4 linked regions of the Oryza sativa Japonica Group genome follow. The main gene of each other region encodes a partner of the protein of the gene in region 4 in a complex. Links are inferred from orthologs where the notes say so. Each region holds a gene or a part of one and is shown on either strand. Other genes may lie near its edges.

Region 1 (4,210 bases), on a different chromosome or scaffold from region 4:
GCTCCACCATCTGCATTCCAATTTCCAAACCACTTCCCTAACTTTTTCCACCCTCACCCACAAACAAATCTAACCCAAATAGTTTATGTACTAACAGGATGACTAATTAGCTCAGCTTTGCCCGCGGCACACACTTTTGGCATATAAAGTCCGTGTCAAAGTTTCAGATGAAAAGTTTCTGGATGGAAGTTTCCAAACGAAGGTTTTTTCAGATGAAAGTTTTCATTAAAAAATGTGTTGAAATCCCTATGTTTGGGCCTAATAATACAGCGACCAAGCGGCCCAACCTACGACCACCAGACTGCCTACGTGCCATTTTGGCCCACCCAACCCAAATATTGTAGTAGCTCTATCAAACTATATGACTATAAAGAACGTGCACCTTTAAACAAGATTACAAGACAAGTATCAGTTGCTCTAGACTCTGAACCCTTTGTTGTTTACATCATGCCCATTTAACCCCATAACATTAACACAAATAAATTTGTCAAAAAAAAAAAGGTGCAAGAAACTGACTTTACAGGTAGGATGGACAGTGGCAATGTGTAAAGACCAAGCCCCGTGATGTGACACTGCACCTTGGAGTTTCAGCAAAAATCTCTGCAAGTAAATCATTGCATGAATTCAGCTGCTAACACAATTGACGAAATGTATATGACAGCTTAAGAACGGAGCAAAAGGTAAGGAACAATGGAATGCCTTGCAGATGAGCTTACCTGGTGAAATCAGAATTCATCCAAAGCCCACCATCCACTAAAGATTCAATCAAGCAGCTTCAGGGCTTATTTCGCATATACGGTCAGCCTTACTTGAGCTGTGACTTCAGGGTGAAGCTTAATCTCTGCAATGTATTCCCCAATTTCACGAATTTCTGGCACTGTCACGAGACGCTTGTCGACATCCCTACATGAAATAGTTTCCGGTAAGCAAAGCAACAGCAGCAAATAGAGCATCGCAATCCTTCCTTAAAAGGTAGTGATTGTCAGTGCACTTAGAAGGGCATACCTATTAAGTTGTGACTTTATGATGTCAACAAGATCTTGTGCTGTGACGCTGTAGAATAGAAGAAAAACTTGTTATTAAGTGCAAGTAAAATAAGACGATACATAAAGAACTATCTACTCGATAAAAACTTGCCTCCCAAATATCTGTTTTCCTTTCCCACCTTTACGTGGCACTTTGAATGCCCCAATAGTTTCAAAAACACGGGCAAGTTGCTGTGCCTCTTCTTTTACCTACTCAAGCACAAATGCTCAACAGGGTAAGATTATGCTAACACTGGATGAAAGTTCTTATACTCTTATGGAAAATGATATTGGTAGGAACAAATCATGCTTTAGACTTTTTACAAAATAAGCTAAACCACAACTACGTACCCTGGAGAACAAGGATTAGTAGGGTATAACTACCACAGTAGTTTTTAGACAGACAGGAACAAATAGGAATAAGTTTCAACTATATCAATTCTTACTGAGTCCACAAATAGAATAATAGGTTTACTTACCCGCTTCTTTTCAGCATCTATCCTCTCCTGTTCTACTTGCATTTCCCTGTAGACAGCAGCAGAGGAAATTAAGTAGCTTACTAGCCATCCTTTTACAAGAACTAATTGAACATGTTGAACACCCCAGAAGAACTGAACTAGAAATGCAGAATAGGCATCTATAAAAGTTTGCAGATTTATATGTCAATCCTGGGCTCCACAAGGAGGCAAGAGATACAATGGCTAACACAACAGAATAAATAGCTGCAAATTTACACCTGCAGCATACTGTGAAAACCAACTACGATGAAACATAAGCATACGTCAATTAATTTACTAGGAGCACCTATCTGTTGGTTGAAACATAGCCTATACAATTCGTGAGATGTGGTAAATGACTGTAAGACAGAAGATTACTTGAGTACTTCTGGGGTGAGCAGCGTTGCCTTGCCCTTTGGCAGAAGGAAGTTGCGGTAGAACCCGGCCCTCACTTTAAGCGTGTCCCCTTTCTTCCCCACCTCTGCTATGTCATCTGTCAGTATGACCTGGGAGAAAAAGAAACTCAAGTGAAGTAAATCAAATACGGAATCGTGCATTACATGCTAAAGTATAGAAATGCATAATAGACAAGGAAGATGATGACATAGGCTTGGAACATTTTACAGTTTACAGGTGCAAATTTTGAACTGGGTGTATCTAGATGCCTTTTAGTTGCAACTTTCCCTACAAACAAACAGCATGGCCAAACCAACAATTCCGGCGTTCCGGGGCATATACAGAATCATATTAGAGATGACTTTTGCATCTGAGTTGCAATGCTAAGAGGCACCTAATTAAAAACATGACGATAGTTTCTTCCATTTCCATGTACTGCATCAGAGCATGCGTCCATGGCAATGTATCTTTTCCTATACTCAGATGTGTGAATGCACACAGTAATCTTAAGCTTACAGCTGCTGCATTTCGAATTTTTCGATCGATGGAATGCAGTCGCATGCGCTTTGTAATCTACTGTACTGATTAGTGGACAGGGTGGTGACAGACAGTACATTGGGTATGGCTAGTTCTAAAAGAGGCAAAACAAAAGCATCACCAGCAACAGCTTGTTCAATCAGTCAGTACTAGTACTGCTTAGCTCGAACGAATCGCAATTAAATACATACATACATACATGCTGCAACTGTGGAGAGAAAATACAAGTGGAAGCCAAACCTGGCGATACTTCTTGACCTTGCCCTGGGCGACGACGACCAGCGACGGGGAGCGGCGCGGCGGGAGGCGGGAGGAGGGGGCGGAGGAGGAGGCGGCGGAGCTCCAGGCGAGCGTGGAGGCCATGGCGTTGGGGATGGATTGCGGGGGAAGGGAAGGAACTGCGGCTGCTGCTCTCTTATCCACTTCCCCAACGGATTTGGTGCCCTCTCTCTTGGGCTTTGCGCTGCTTTGGGCCTTTCAAATCGGCCCAGTATCAAAGGTTTTCTTCGGGGTTGTCATGGGCTTGAAGATTAAGGGTCATTTTGGTTTGGCGCTCCTTCTTGCCTTACTAATTCTTTGATAACTTAAAGGTCAAAAATAAATTATTTGGTAACTTTGAATAGTTAACACGTAACTATTTGAATTAGAGTCAAATTTTGCTAAATCAATAAGGTGAAGCCAAATAGACAATAACAAAAATTTAGTAATACCAAAATTTACTCAAGATTTGGCATTGCCAATATTTTGGCATGGTTTCATACCAAACAAGTCGTAATAATAATCCACCAAATTGTAACCCCCTTCCACTCAACGTATAGAGAAAGGTAGGAGATATATATGTACGTGATACCTCGACGATATTACTAAGATAGATAGATAGTACATGTGATGCCAAGATGTTATAACATACATTAAGAGAAACACTCAGGGGTCTTCCGGCTAGCTCCACAAGGTGATAGCCTAAATGACCTGGATTCGTAACCTCACCCCTTCTAATTATTTGATATTAGGTCCTTCACTAATATTCATGTTATAACATAAATCGAGAAATATATTATTATAACACTATTTTGGTGCTATCTTGAAACTCAACGATACATCACTAGCTACCATTACGTATAAACGTGTATTAATAGTATAAGCAAATATCAACGAGTATCATCAAGTATCAATGTGCAAGAACGAGTATTAGCAAATACTCCGTATCTTCATGAATAATATCAAAGAGTATAATCAAGTATCATTGTTTAATTATCAACGAGTATCATCAAAATATCATCCTCGTATATCATACTCCAGTATCATCTTGTTGTACTTTTTCTGACAAAGATCTCCAGCTGGTGACCTGTTTCTCGAAAGGAACAAAAATTAAAAAAAAACCTAGCAAATCGTTCTTAAAAAGAATGGCGATTATATATCTTATTGAATTAGTATGTCTACTGCTCAACGAGATGAGAAAACCGAAGAGAAGAGGGGTATATAATCGAGTATATGTCATCGTCGTCGTCATGTCATGCAGCCGTCCATGACTTCGTCCTTCCCGCCATCGGAGAAACCAAACAAGCGGACTCCACGAAGCTAGCTAAGCTAGCTAGCGCGCCAAAACTTTAAAAATCCTCACACCCTCTTCCACCTTCGCTTCATCTCCAATCCAATTCTCCATCGATCGTTACACCCAAAGATCGAGATACCAATACCATGGAGGAAATCTTGGAATCCGAGTACTCGGCCGCCGCCGCCGCCGGCGACGCGGCG
Region 2 (2,770 bases), on a different chromosome or scaffold from region 4:
GAAATCAGTATCAAACAAATAAGTGACCATGTGATCATCAATTTTGCCAATTCTATTCTTGATCCACTGCGCGTTCAGACAGAAATGATACAAATTAGGTATGTGGTGAGCTGGTGACCAACAGTAAGTTTCAGAAGCTAATTCAGAAGAATTTCCAACTCTAATTAGTGTTATTCTGTTACTAAAAGATGAATTAATCATTTAATTTTGTTCACTTCAAGGAGGTTTGCTCTTAACAAAAAGAGCACAGTTAAGTTCATGATTTTAAAACATCTCATCATACTGCTTTGAACAACTTTGTTGTAAACCTGGATACACTGATTGATGGTACAACTACACAAGCACTAGTAGTTATTGACCATTCTAATTGTGCATTGCCATTGCCCCTCAACCTACTAAACTTTGATCTCTGTAGTCTCTACAGGTAAAATTAAATTATCAAAACACTAGTTGTGGAACAAGCATTCCCTCTAAGTACGCAACGTAATCCTAATAACATCAGAACTCGGTAATCTTATGAAATCAGACCAGTAGGCATGCGTTGTAAGAGGTAAAACTTTTGTGATTCAATTCAAACGTGAGGCAGTAAAAGTACAGGAATTCTACAAGAAATGAGTGAGATGAGAGAAACGAAGCCACAAAACCATCTCTCAACAGCCATCAGGCGGCGCCGACCTCCTGCTCGAGCTTGCGCACGTACGCCGAGAGCACGGAGACGACGTCCCTGGCCGGCGCCTGCAGCGTGGTGACGACGGAGGTCGCGGGCCCCTGCAGCGAGCCGAGCAGCTTGGCGTACACCTCGGCGCGGCTGGGCATTGTCTCGAGCGCCTTGAAGTCCCCGGGGGCGTAGAACTTGCCCTCGAACACCGCGCCGACGAAGTCGTTGGTCTCCTCGAGGCGCTCCTCCTTCTGGAAGGCGCGGTAGGGCTTGAGCGCGGCGGGGACCTCCTCGGTGTGGACGAACAGCCACGCGTTCATCCCCTTCATGCACGGCTTGAGCGCCTCCCACGGCGTGCCCTCGATGGCCTTCCCCACCAGCGTGTTCTTCGCCACCAGCAGCCGGCAGGTCTCCGGGAGGGTGTCGCGGATGCCCTGCAGCTGCTTCACCGTGAGGCCCTCGTAGCGGATCCCGGCGAGGAGGTAGCAGCCCTCCAGCTGCTCGCGGACGGCGGCCACCGTGTCCTCCTTGCGGCCTCGGGTGATGGCCGCGCTGATGGTGGAGCGGCGGAGCGGGCGGGGGCGGGGGCGGGGTGCGAGGGTCTGGAACGCCGGGAGGGGCTTCGCGGTGGGGAGGGTGGTGCGGAGGAAGGAGGAGGTCTCCATCTTCGGAGGCCGGGAGCTATGGCGGGTTGGGAGAAAGAGTGGAGTGGGAGAGCTTATCTGTGGGGAAGATGAGGCGGGGGGCTCACTGGATTATGTGGGACCGTATCGTCAGTGCCTGAGAAGATGGTGAACTCAGCTCGGTCAGCTGCACAGAAAGAAGCTTCCGTGGAGATTGACCTTTGCTTGAGGATTTATAGCCGTTCGATCTTGATCCATGAGCGGTTGAAAATAAGATTAAGAGTTCCAAATAAAAAAAAATAGAGGCATAGAGCAAACGCGTATGTGTGGTATTCATAGACGTCAATTTAAACCATAGTGAGTGAAGTCGTGTACCAACAACTCCAATCTTCACTGCCTTGTTCAACACAGCATACATCACTATTGTTTTCTTGAGTTCAAAAACTCTTGATATGTACAATAAAACATAACATACATCAGTGTACTGAATTATTCAACACAATAGATATCACTATATAAGAAAATGACAGCGATTAGGCGCCCGATCAGCGGTAGAAAAATCGGGCGCTCGCCGCCTCCCGCACGCTCCCACCCCTTATGCGTTGTCCCCCCCCCCACGTGCCCCACCACACGCGTCGTTATAACAAATCACCCGCACATTAAGGAAATACTTTATTAAAGGAATCCGTTTCATTTTTTTTTCCACCAACAATGTTTTAGCAAGTGTACTCGTGATGTTTCACTATGTATGATCAAATGTTGCAATGATTTGAAACATCCTTTGCTATTTGCTGAAATATTGTTTTTATATAGGATGAAACAATGCCTGATTTTTTTTTGGAAACTGTTGTTTCATATGTTGTAACAAAATATTTCACGATGTGATTTGGTTGTGTTTCAGCTTTTTTAAAAATATTGAAACATTTTCGATCTATTTAGTGAAACAATGCCTGATTTTTGTAAAAAATCGAGCGCCCGATTTGTAGATGCATCACTATATATATATATATATATATATATATATATATATATATATATATATATATATATATATATATATATATATATATATATATATATATATATATAATTCAAACTTTTTTTTACAGGTAAGAAAACCATGCGAATCTCTTGTACGACGATCAAAATGGATATAAACATTGCAAGGATGTCAGGTGGAAAGGATATAAACTGCGACGATCAAGCAACAGCAGCTGCTCTGATGCTGTAAACACGGAGTTGTTCCGGACTCAGCATGCTCAACGCAATTTCACAGAAAACCAAACATCCGATGCTTACCATTCTCTCCATAACTCGTGTGCACTTCAAGCCATCCCTAACATGAAATGATGGTTTTGATAATGGAAGTGTATAGTTCATATAATAATGTCATTGGTAGTACTGAAATCCAAGAAATAAGATGCAGGGAAACAAGAACGTCTGGTACAGGGTGAAATTCACTTTTAGCTCTGCTGCAGCTCTGCTGCCC
Region 3 (3,672 bases), on a different chromosome or scaffold from region 4:
CATCGACACCGAGTCGGCCGTCAGGATCAAGTCCGGCGTGGGGCGCGGCGGCTACGTCAAGGACGTGTTCGTCCGCGGCCTCAGCCTCCACACCATGAAGTGGGTGTTCTGGATGACCGGCAACTACGGCCAGCACCCGGACAACTCCTCCGACCCCAACGCTCTGCCGGAGGTCACCGGCATCAACTACAGCGACGTGTTCGCGGAGAACGTCACCATGGCCGGCAGGATGGAGGGGATTCCCAACGACCCCTACACTGGCATCTGCATGTCCAACGTCACCGCGCAGCTCGCGCCGGACGCCAAGAAGCTGCAATGGAACTGCACCGATGTCAAGGGTGTCGCCTCCGACGTCTCGCCGGTGCCGTGCCCGGAGCTCGGGGCGGCGGGCAAGCCATGCGCCTTCCCTGAAGAAGAGCTCGTCATCGGTCCGCCTGAATTGCCAACGTGTAGCTACTGAAATACTGATATAGGATGATAGTATGGTGTGGGTAATGGCCTGGGCTATGAGATGCTTGGGACCAAAGAGATATATATGATGTGGTTTAGTGAGTAAAGTTAAGCAGTTTGAAAATGCTGCCGGATAATCTCTTTACACCCAATTCATTTATGAGTGCTCATCTGCGAATGACCTGACCAAAGCAAAGCCTTTTCATTTTGTCTTCTGACAGTAAATACAGCACGTGACAAGATAACAAAATCATCAAACTTCTAAACGAAACTTTGCAAAAACAATGACAATTGACAAAGTGAGAAGCAAAGCTCAACGTGCCTAGGCAGCGGTTTGCAATCACCGTCTTCCCCTGCCCTTGCTCATGAAGTGGTGGCGCTTCAACCTCTTCTTCCGGATCACCACGGAGGACTTGATGTGCTCCGCGAACGGCATGCCAAGGAGGGTGAGCAGCCTGAGAGCCTCGTTGTCGGTCTTCGCGGTGGTGACGATGCAGACGTCCATTCCATTCTTCTTCCCACCGACCTCGTACGGGATCTCCGGGAACACGCCCTGATCACGAAGGCCTATGGTGAAGTTGCCATGGCCATCAAAGCTGTTGGGGTTGACACCAAGGAAGTCCATGGTCCTAGGAAGCCCAAGGTTGATGAGCCTATCCAGGAAGTTGAACATTACCTGCAGCAAGCCAAAATAAGCTCATCGATCAAACATATTCCCTAGGTTCCCAAATACTTGTCACTGGATACTATTCATATTTGAACTTTGATCACTTATATTTTTTAGAAAATAAAATGCATATACCTAAAAATATGCCATATTATTAAAGGTTGTTACTCCACATAGATAGGTATTAAACTTTCGTTCGTCCAACCATTTAAAATTTGTGGTCAATGTAAAATACTGACGGCCAACGGTGACAATAATTTGGAACTGGATGGAGTAATTGCAATTCTCACACATACTTTAGGCTATTATACTGTCATGCAAATCCCAAATTGATACAACATTGCAGTCCCCAATTTGTCAATGTCTGCATCGCAAGTAGCCAGAGGTACAGAGGACTCACCCTGCCGCGGAGCGTAACGGCAATACCAATGGTGTTCCCCTCGCGGATCTTGAAACTGGCGACGGACTTCTTGGCCTTCGTCTTGACGGGCCACTGGCCGGTGATCATGGCGAGGTCCTTCATGGCGGATTCGAGCCCCTTGGAGTTACCGGCTTCAGCCCCCAACCCGCAATTCACTACAATCTTCTCAACCTTGGGCACCTGAATAAAATCGAGAATCCAAAACACACTCCTCTAAGCTCAATTATTGAACAACAATCGAATTTCCCGAGTTCCGCAAAGAAATGGCCATGTCTATCCTATAATTGCGAGAAGGGAGACAGAGGTCGAACACCTGGTGGACATTGGTGTAGCCGAACTCCTCGGTGATGAGGGGGACCACCTTCTGGTCGTATACAGCCTTGAGGCGGTGCACCTTCTGTGCCTCGGTGGGGTCGACGAGGACGATGCCCGAAGGCGAGGTCGGCGGCGGCGCCGGCTTGGGTGGCGCGTCGGCCGCGGCGGAGGCGGCGACGCGGAGGGCTCGGCGAGGAGGCGGGGAGCGGAGGAGGAGGCGGACGTTACGGGAGGAGGAGGCGGTGGTGGTGACGGGGAAGGGGGCCGGCGAGGACGGCAGGGTCACAGCCGTGGCCGCCATTGGAGCGTGCGCGGAGACGGAGGTGGGAGCTGAGGAGGGAGCTTTATGCCATGGATGGATTACGGGATAAGGCGAGTTGGCTGTGGCTGGCTGCCGTTGCTGTCCAGTGTCGCAGGTGGGCTTTCTCGTCATGGTTCGGCCCATCGAACTGTTCGACATGGTTTCAGGCCTTAGGCCCATCAAAACCGTTGATTTGGGCCTTAGGCCCATCAAAACCGTTGAGTTGGGGGTGAACTAAACACGGCCTAAGAGAAGGGTAAAGTTACATGAGTCAACAACTGCAAGTCTGCAGTGTGTGAATTTCGATATATGCCTTGTTTTGGTCAACCGGTAACAGTGTTTGAGTATGTGGCCCATTCTGTATTTTCTAATGCACTACAGGACATCACTAGTATAGTAGTAGTATGCCATTAAACGATGACTTCAAACATAAAAAACGCCGATGAAGAGCTTAAACAAGATCAAGCAAACTCTGAACCTAGCAACAGTTGCTGGCAGATCAGCAGGAGATCTGCCACGCTTGATCAACATTGAAAAATGGACGGAATATCACGACGAGGATCCTCGTCACATGCTTATGCCTAACTAATCATGCAGTAACCGTAACATGCAGTTCTTTATAACCAGGGGACAATCACTAGGATCTGATTTGAAAGGTCCCAGATCACAACATTGCGCTTGCCCTACCTTGTTCTACCAAGGACCAGCAATGCCACGACCGTGATCCTGTGAGGATCGACTTGACACCAAGAGTAGAAACACAACGGACAATATCTTCCTTGTCAGTTTGCAACCTAATCCTGATAAACTACATTAACCTCCTTGACCTCAAGAAGTAACTGTCAGTCTGTGACCTTGTCACTTGTCAGGGCCTTAATGAACAGCCATTCAGCAGTATGGAGGAACCGCCTAGTGTGCATAAGCTTCATTAATTCTTCTTCACGGTCAAAAAGTAATCAGCCATGCATCACTTTCATATTTACATCCGGCACATCTCGTGAACAAGAGATACAGAATGTCGGCAAATAAAGAATATAAAAGAAAGTACACATTTTATCAGTGAACACCTCACTGTCAGCAGCACGACTCAACCAGACTAATAAATTCAGAATGGTACTGATTAATATATATCATTACCAGCAGTACTAGCAAAAGCATCAGCCATTCAGCCCCAGCACATCATTTCTAATACCTGTGTGCTCCACCGTCCAAATGAGCTTCCAAATATCTATCTAAATTATTCTTCTATTAACAGGACAGAAAAGCATATTACAAGGCTACAATTGCCACTGAAGCAAAAACTAATAAGAGATGACAGCAAATAAAAAGAAAAAAATGTGTGATAAGTAGCTCTCATTGGATCGCATCTAAGGTCTCTTTCCTCTTAATCCTCCTCTTGATCTCCTTCTCCAGCTCCTCAATCCCACCCACCTCCTCCAGCTCCTGTCAACCACATAAAACAGAGACATTTTAGAACATTTCAGACAATTTTTCCGACGATCACAAATATTTGTAATA
Region 4 (4,059 bases):
ACCTTGATGGGTTGCATCTTCGTCTCATGGGATCTGGACAGGTGTCAGGTTTCCCTCGCGGAGCAAAACGCAAGCAGAAAACTGTGGTTTGCTTACGATCACCTGGATTTGATATTTGCGTGCCATATCTGCTATGTTGATTCTCAGCCGTCAGCACGAGCTCTTGAGCTTTCATGTTATCAATGGCAAATCAGATTTGTTTTTTCCTTTTTCTGACTATAATCTTTTAGCACTATATATTTGTATTTTTTTTCCTACTATATCAATAGAAACATCGCTATCTTTTAGCACTATATATTTGTATTTTTTTCCTACTATATCAATAGAAACATCGCTGCGGGTTGTTTCAAAAAAAAAATTGCTAAGCTTGTTTCTTTTATGATACTCCTATCTTACTACTCCTTAAAAAAAAGAACTTATCAATCATTCATGGGTTTTATATGTACATCTCATCTATATTTCTATATGGAAATGGACCAAATTAGTCAATGGTTGCGAATAATAGCTCAGGACAGGGGACAGCAACAACATTACAAAATCATTTGTATGAGCGAATGTAGCTGAACCATTCTAGTAGCTGGTTAACAAGCCAAGCATGTCATTGGATACAAAAAAATGTTGGCAACTGTATAGAAATTTACAAGACTCTGAAATCTGAATCTAGAAAAGCATCAACTCATTTGGGCATACAAAAAGTGCAGTTCAGAAAATGTGCAGGACTCCCATGCTACCATGATCACTCCGAACTTCCTTCCTTGAACACCTTGACCCAATTCTCAGCACTGTCAATTATTTCACCAGTCTTGACCAGGTACCGAACCTTCGTTCCATCCTCAAGGAATTTGTGTCCAACCCTACTCGCCACATTCTTTTCCTTTGAGTAGAGCATCACATTTGAGCTGTGAATGGGGCCTTCAATCTGATCAAAGAAAACACCAACAACCATAGGTTAACGATCAGGCATCTGAAACTATATATACGACACTAGCTAGAAGCAGCACAGAAAGAAGTTTCAAGAGAAACAATGCTGACCATGACGATTTCACCCGGTTCATCTTCTGTTCCTTTCTTGTGCTTGGACTTCAAGTTCAAGTCCTTCACTATTACAGTGCTGTTGTGCTTAAAAAGCCGCGTAACTTCTCCAACTTTACCTTTCTCACGGCCTGCAATGACTTGTACTGTATCGCCAATCCTAACATGCATCTTGTGCAGGACAGGAAGACTGTTTGGTTTACACTTCTTCCTCTCCCATCGCTTAAGCTGCATTGGAAAAAGGGAAATTTCAGACATTTGAGTAAATAGCAAGCTGCAGACCAAAAAAGAATTGAAACTTACCCTCATTTGAATTGGGCATGTCTTGATCATAAATTTAACCTGCATATAAAAATTTATGCATATCTTGTCAGAGTTTCTTATGAAAATGACATAAAATGTAATAATCAGCTGCTTTTGAGATATGACATGAATCATGCTCACGATGTTTCTTAGGCAAGAATATCTAGGATAATCATATGATCTTTTAGTACGAGTTTCTTCATATAAGTGCAGATTTTAGTACAGTTCATCATATAAGTGCCATATATAGCTCAGTCACTCCATTCAAGAGCAATTATTCGGCCTTATTTTCTCTCATCACCACTTTCCAGGTAAGTAATTAGTCGTGAGTGAGTCTCATTCTGAGGACGAAGTGCAGTAGACTATCTAGAAGAGCTAAGGAACGCCAAAAAGAATATACAAAAGATAGAACAAGTTCAGTCTGATAAGTATACCGAGTGTGCCAATCATTTGCTACAGGCTATCCCCGAGTGAAATGAGTTTCCATCATTTTCCCATGGAAGTCTTCTGTGAAATTTCTACTGTTGAGTAATTTAAAGTTCAAAGGCAAAATTGTTTCTAGCCAGCGAAATGTGATCTATACAGCAGGTTAGAACAAGAAATGGTCTGTCTCACTAGAGGGCACATCTTTCAGAAAAATAATCCTCTGCTTGAAAGGCTGAATATTGGGTATCCATCGCTTATACCACCATAGGAAAAAAATAATATTCAAGTTTAAACTGAAACATAACAGGCCACATCCCATGGTAGACAACACAATTTCTAACTTCTGAATTCACTCAGTTGATATACTCAAACTTGAGATTTCAAGCATTCATTAATTCATATAAACCCTCCTTATACTAGCCAACTAGGTTCAACTATACCACAAAATCCTTGAGACCTTTTCTCTAAAAAAAATATACCACAAAATTTTGACACAACGTTGGTTGTTGGCTAGTTGAGGTCCTGAGCCTGAACTCCTGAAGGCAACAACAGTACAGTGAGGCGATGTAGACATCACCATTGCAATGCCACGCTGTTGGTGAGCTCTAAAATCCTAAATCTCAGTGCAAGCTGGCATTTCTACTTTTCCAGCGAATCATAAGAGCAGAGCAAACATAAAGGAATGCGAAAAATGAGAATCAGGGTTGGGAGTCGGCACAAACCCCAGCCGGCGCGGCGGCGAAGGTGGAGAGCGGGTGGCCCCAGAAGCTGCTGGTGCTCGCCGCCCCCGGCGCAGAGATGGAGAGGGACGCCATCGCGCCCTGCAACGCCGCCACCCCGGCCATCTTCGTCTCCTCCCCTCCTCTTCCTCCCTCGCTCGCTCAAACCGCAGAGAAGCAGCAGAGGATAACGAACGCCTTCGTGTGCTCGCGGACAGGATAATGGCGAGCGCTTTTCTACATGACAAATGGGCCTCTAGGCCGAATGGATTGGCCCACTTGTAAGACTCATAAAGGCCTAATGAAAGGCCTATCGTAATCCAGCCCAACTACAACGGACCTTACGGCCCAAGTCAGCCGCGATCCCGTTCAGGCTCAAATATAGCGGGCCTCACGTAAGCCGCAATCCCGTCTCGACCCAACAAGAACAGGTCGCACCTACACAGATAAAATCTATTGTACATTTCTCATCTCTGCTCCTGATTGAATTACCTCCCTCAACCGCAAAATGGAGGAAAATCGGTCTTATTGTTTGGTTATGCTTATATTTATGAGCCAAAATTTGAATTTGAGAACTTAGTTTTGAATTTGCTTTTTTGTTTTTTTAAAATGCTTATATTTTACAACATTTGCTTTAAGTTATTATGGACATATATAAACATTTTACTCATAAATAAATTTTTATTTGCTAATAAACGATTCGAATAAGCGAAAACCGTAGCAGATCAACCCTTAGATGGTTTGTAGGGTGGTTCCTGTTGACGTGGCAGGCTGACTCGCAGAGAACATGAGGGAGGCAAAATAGACTTACTATCACGCACGTCAGCAATCCGGTTAAGGCCCAAATGTCGTGGGCCGCTCGTCGTCCGCAATCCCGTTTGTGGTCAAGTAACGTGGGCCGAACGTCCTGGGTTGATATGGGCCGACACCCGTTTTCGGATAAGGCCCAGCCCAGCATACGCTCGTCGTCTTCCTCGTTGCGTTGCGTGGCTTCGTCTCCACACGCATCATCACCACGCCACGCGCCGCGAGATGCTGCTTCGGCGGGGGCGCCCAGGCGTGGCGCCTCCCGGATTCCGGCGGCTTCGACGTCGCCGGCGACGCGCGCAAGCCAAGCGACAGTTGCGGAGGCAAGCAACCCCCCAAGTTCCGTCCCTTTTGCGCTTTTCTGGGACCCATTTCCTCTCTCTTTTGGGGGGCGCTTTCGCGGTGACGACGCTGCCGATGCGCGTACGCCTGAGGAGTTCTTCCCCATCACGCCGCGTGGGGGATCGGGACGTCGCCATTTCCGCTGCCGTTTTCTTCTCTTTGGGGGGTTGCAATCTCGCGTTTCATTTGATAGGGTTGGGCGTGGGCGGTGGGGAATGGGGATGGGTAGGTAGATGGCACCGATGTGAATCGGACGACTTCGAATCGAAGCCTTCCGATCCATGTGAGGAGGTTGAGGAACCAACCTAATTTCGAATCGAAGAACTCTTGGTTTCTCTACCTAAAACCAAATAGCATAGTGACAGTGGTCGTTATACTATGAATTCCAAGCTTTTTGACCGAAGATTTCGAATCATCGAGCATCTTTGGC

Evidence for each region.
Region 1: 50S ribosomal protein L24, chloroplastic (region 4) and large ribosomal subunit protein bL9c share a complex: the UniProt entries of both Arabidopsis thaliana proteins name them as parts of the 50S ribosomal subunit. The link is inferred for Oryza sativa Japonica Group from reciprocal best matches to the Arabidopsis thaliana genes RPL24 and RPL9.
Region 2: 50S ribosomal protein L24, chloroplastic (region 4) and large ribosomal subunit protein uL10c share a complex: the UniProt entries of both Arabidopsis thaliana proteins name them as parts of the 50S ribosomal subunit. The link is inferred for Oryza sativa Japonica Group from reciprocal best matches to the Arabidopsis thaliana genes RPL24 and EMB3136.
Region 3: 50S ribosomal protein L24, chloroplastic (region 4) and large ribosomal subunit protein uL5c share a complex: the UniProt entries of both Arabidopsis thaliana proteins name them as parts of the 50S ribosomal subunit. The link is inferred for Oryza sativa Japonica Group from reciprocal best matches to the Arabidopsis thaliana genes RPL24 and AT4G01310.

Annotation. Positions count from the first base shown.
Region 1 is NC_089036.1:35,818,822-35,823,031, forward strand, and holds large ribosomal subunit protein bL9c, read right to left. Parts: upstream 2,838-4,210; 5' UTR 2,819-2,837; coding exon 2,696-2,818; intron 2,029-2,695; coding exon 1,901-2,028; intron 1,551-1,900; coding exon 1,505-1,550; intron 1,236-1,504; coding exon 1,138-1,235; intron 1,054-1,137; coding exon 1,006-1,053; intron 904-1,005; coding exon 783-903; 3' UTR 717-782; intron 601-716; 3' UTR 363-600; downstream 1-362. Other genes in the region: 4-coumarate--CoA ligase-like 3, read left to right, coding at 4,154-4,210. UniProt on the Arabidopsis thaliana protein: Binds to the 23S rRNA.
Region 2 is NC_089037.1:9,831,842-9,834,611, forward strand, and holds large ribosomal subunit protein uL10c, read right to left. Parts: upstream 1,385-2,770; 5' UTR 1,324-1,384; coding exon 661-1,323; 3' UTR 538-660; downstream 1-537. UniProt on the Arabidopsis thaliana protein: This protein binds directly to 23S ribosomal RNA.
Region 3 is NC_089037.1:1,440,962-1,444,633, forward strand, and holds large ribosomal subunit protein uL5c, read right to left. Parts: upstream 2,223-3,672; 5' UTR 2,155-2,222; coding exon 1,852-2,154; intron 1,719-1,851; coding exon 1,518-1,718; intron 1,127-1,517; coding exon 791-1,126; 3' UTR 538-790; downstream 1-537. Other genes in the region: probable polygalacturonase, read left to right, coding at 1-460; beta-carotene hydroxylase 2, chloroplastic, read right to left, coding at 3,508-3,597. UniProt on the Arabidopsis thaliana protein: Binds 5S rRNA, forms part of the central protuberance of the 50S subunit.
Region 4 is NC_089040.1:29,338,647-29,342,705, forward strand, and holds 50S ribosomal protein L24, chloroplastic, read right to left. Parts: upstream 2,687-4,059; 5' UTR 2,607-2,686; coding exon 2,484-2,606; intron 1,375-2,483; coding exon 1,336-1,374; intron 1,261-1,335; coding exon 1,033-1,260; intron 920-1,032; coding exon 737-919; 3' UTR 515-736; downstream 1-514. UniProt on the Arabidopsis thaliana protein: One of two assembly initiator proteins, it binds directly to the 5'-end of the 23S rRNA, where it nucleates assembly of the 50S subunit. Required for optimal plastid performance in terms of photosynthesis and growth.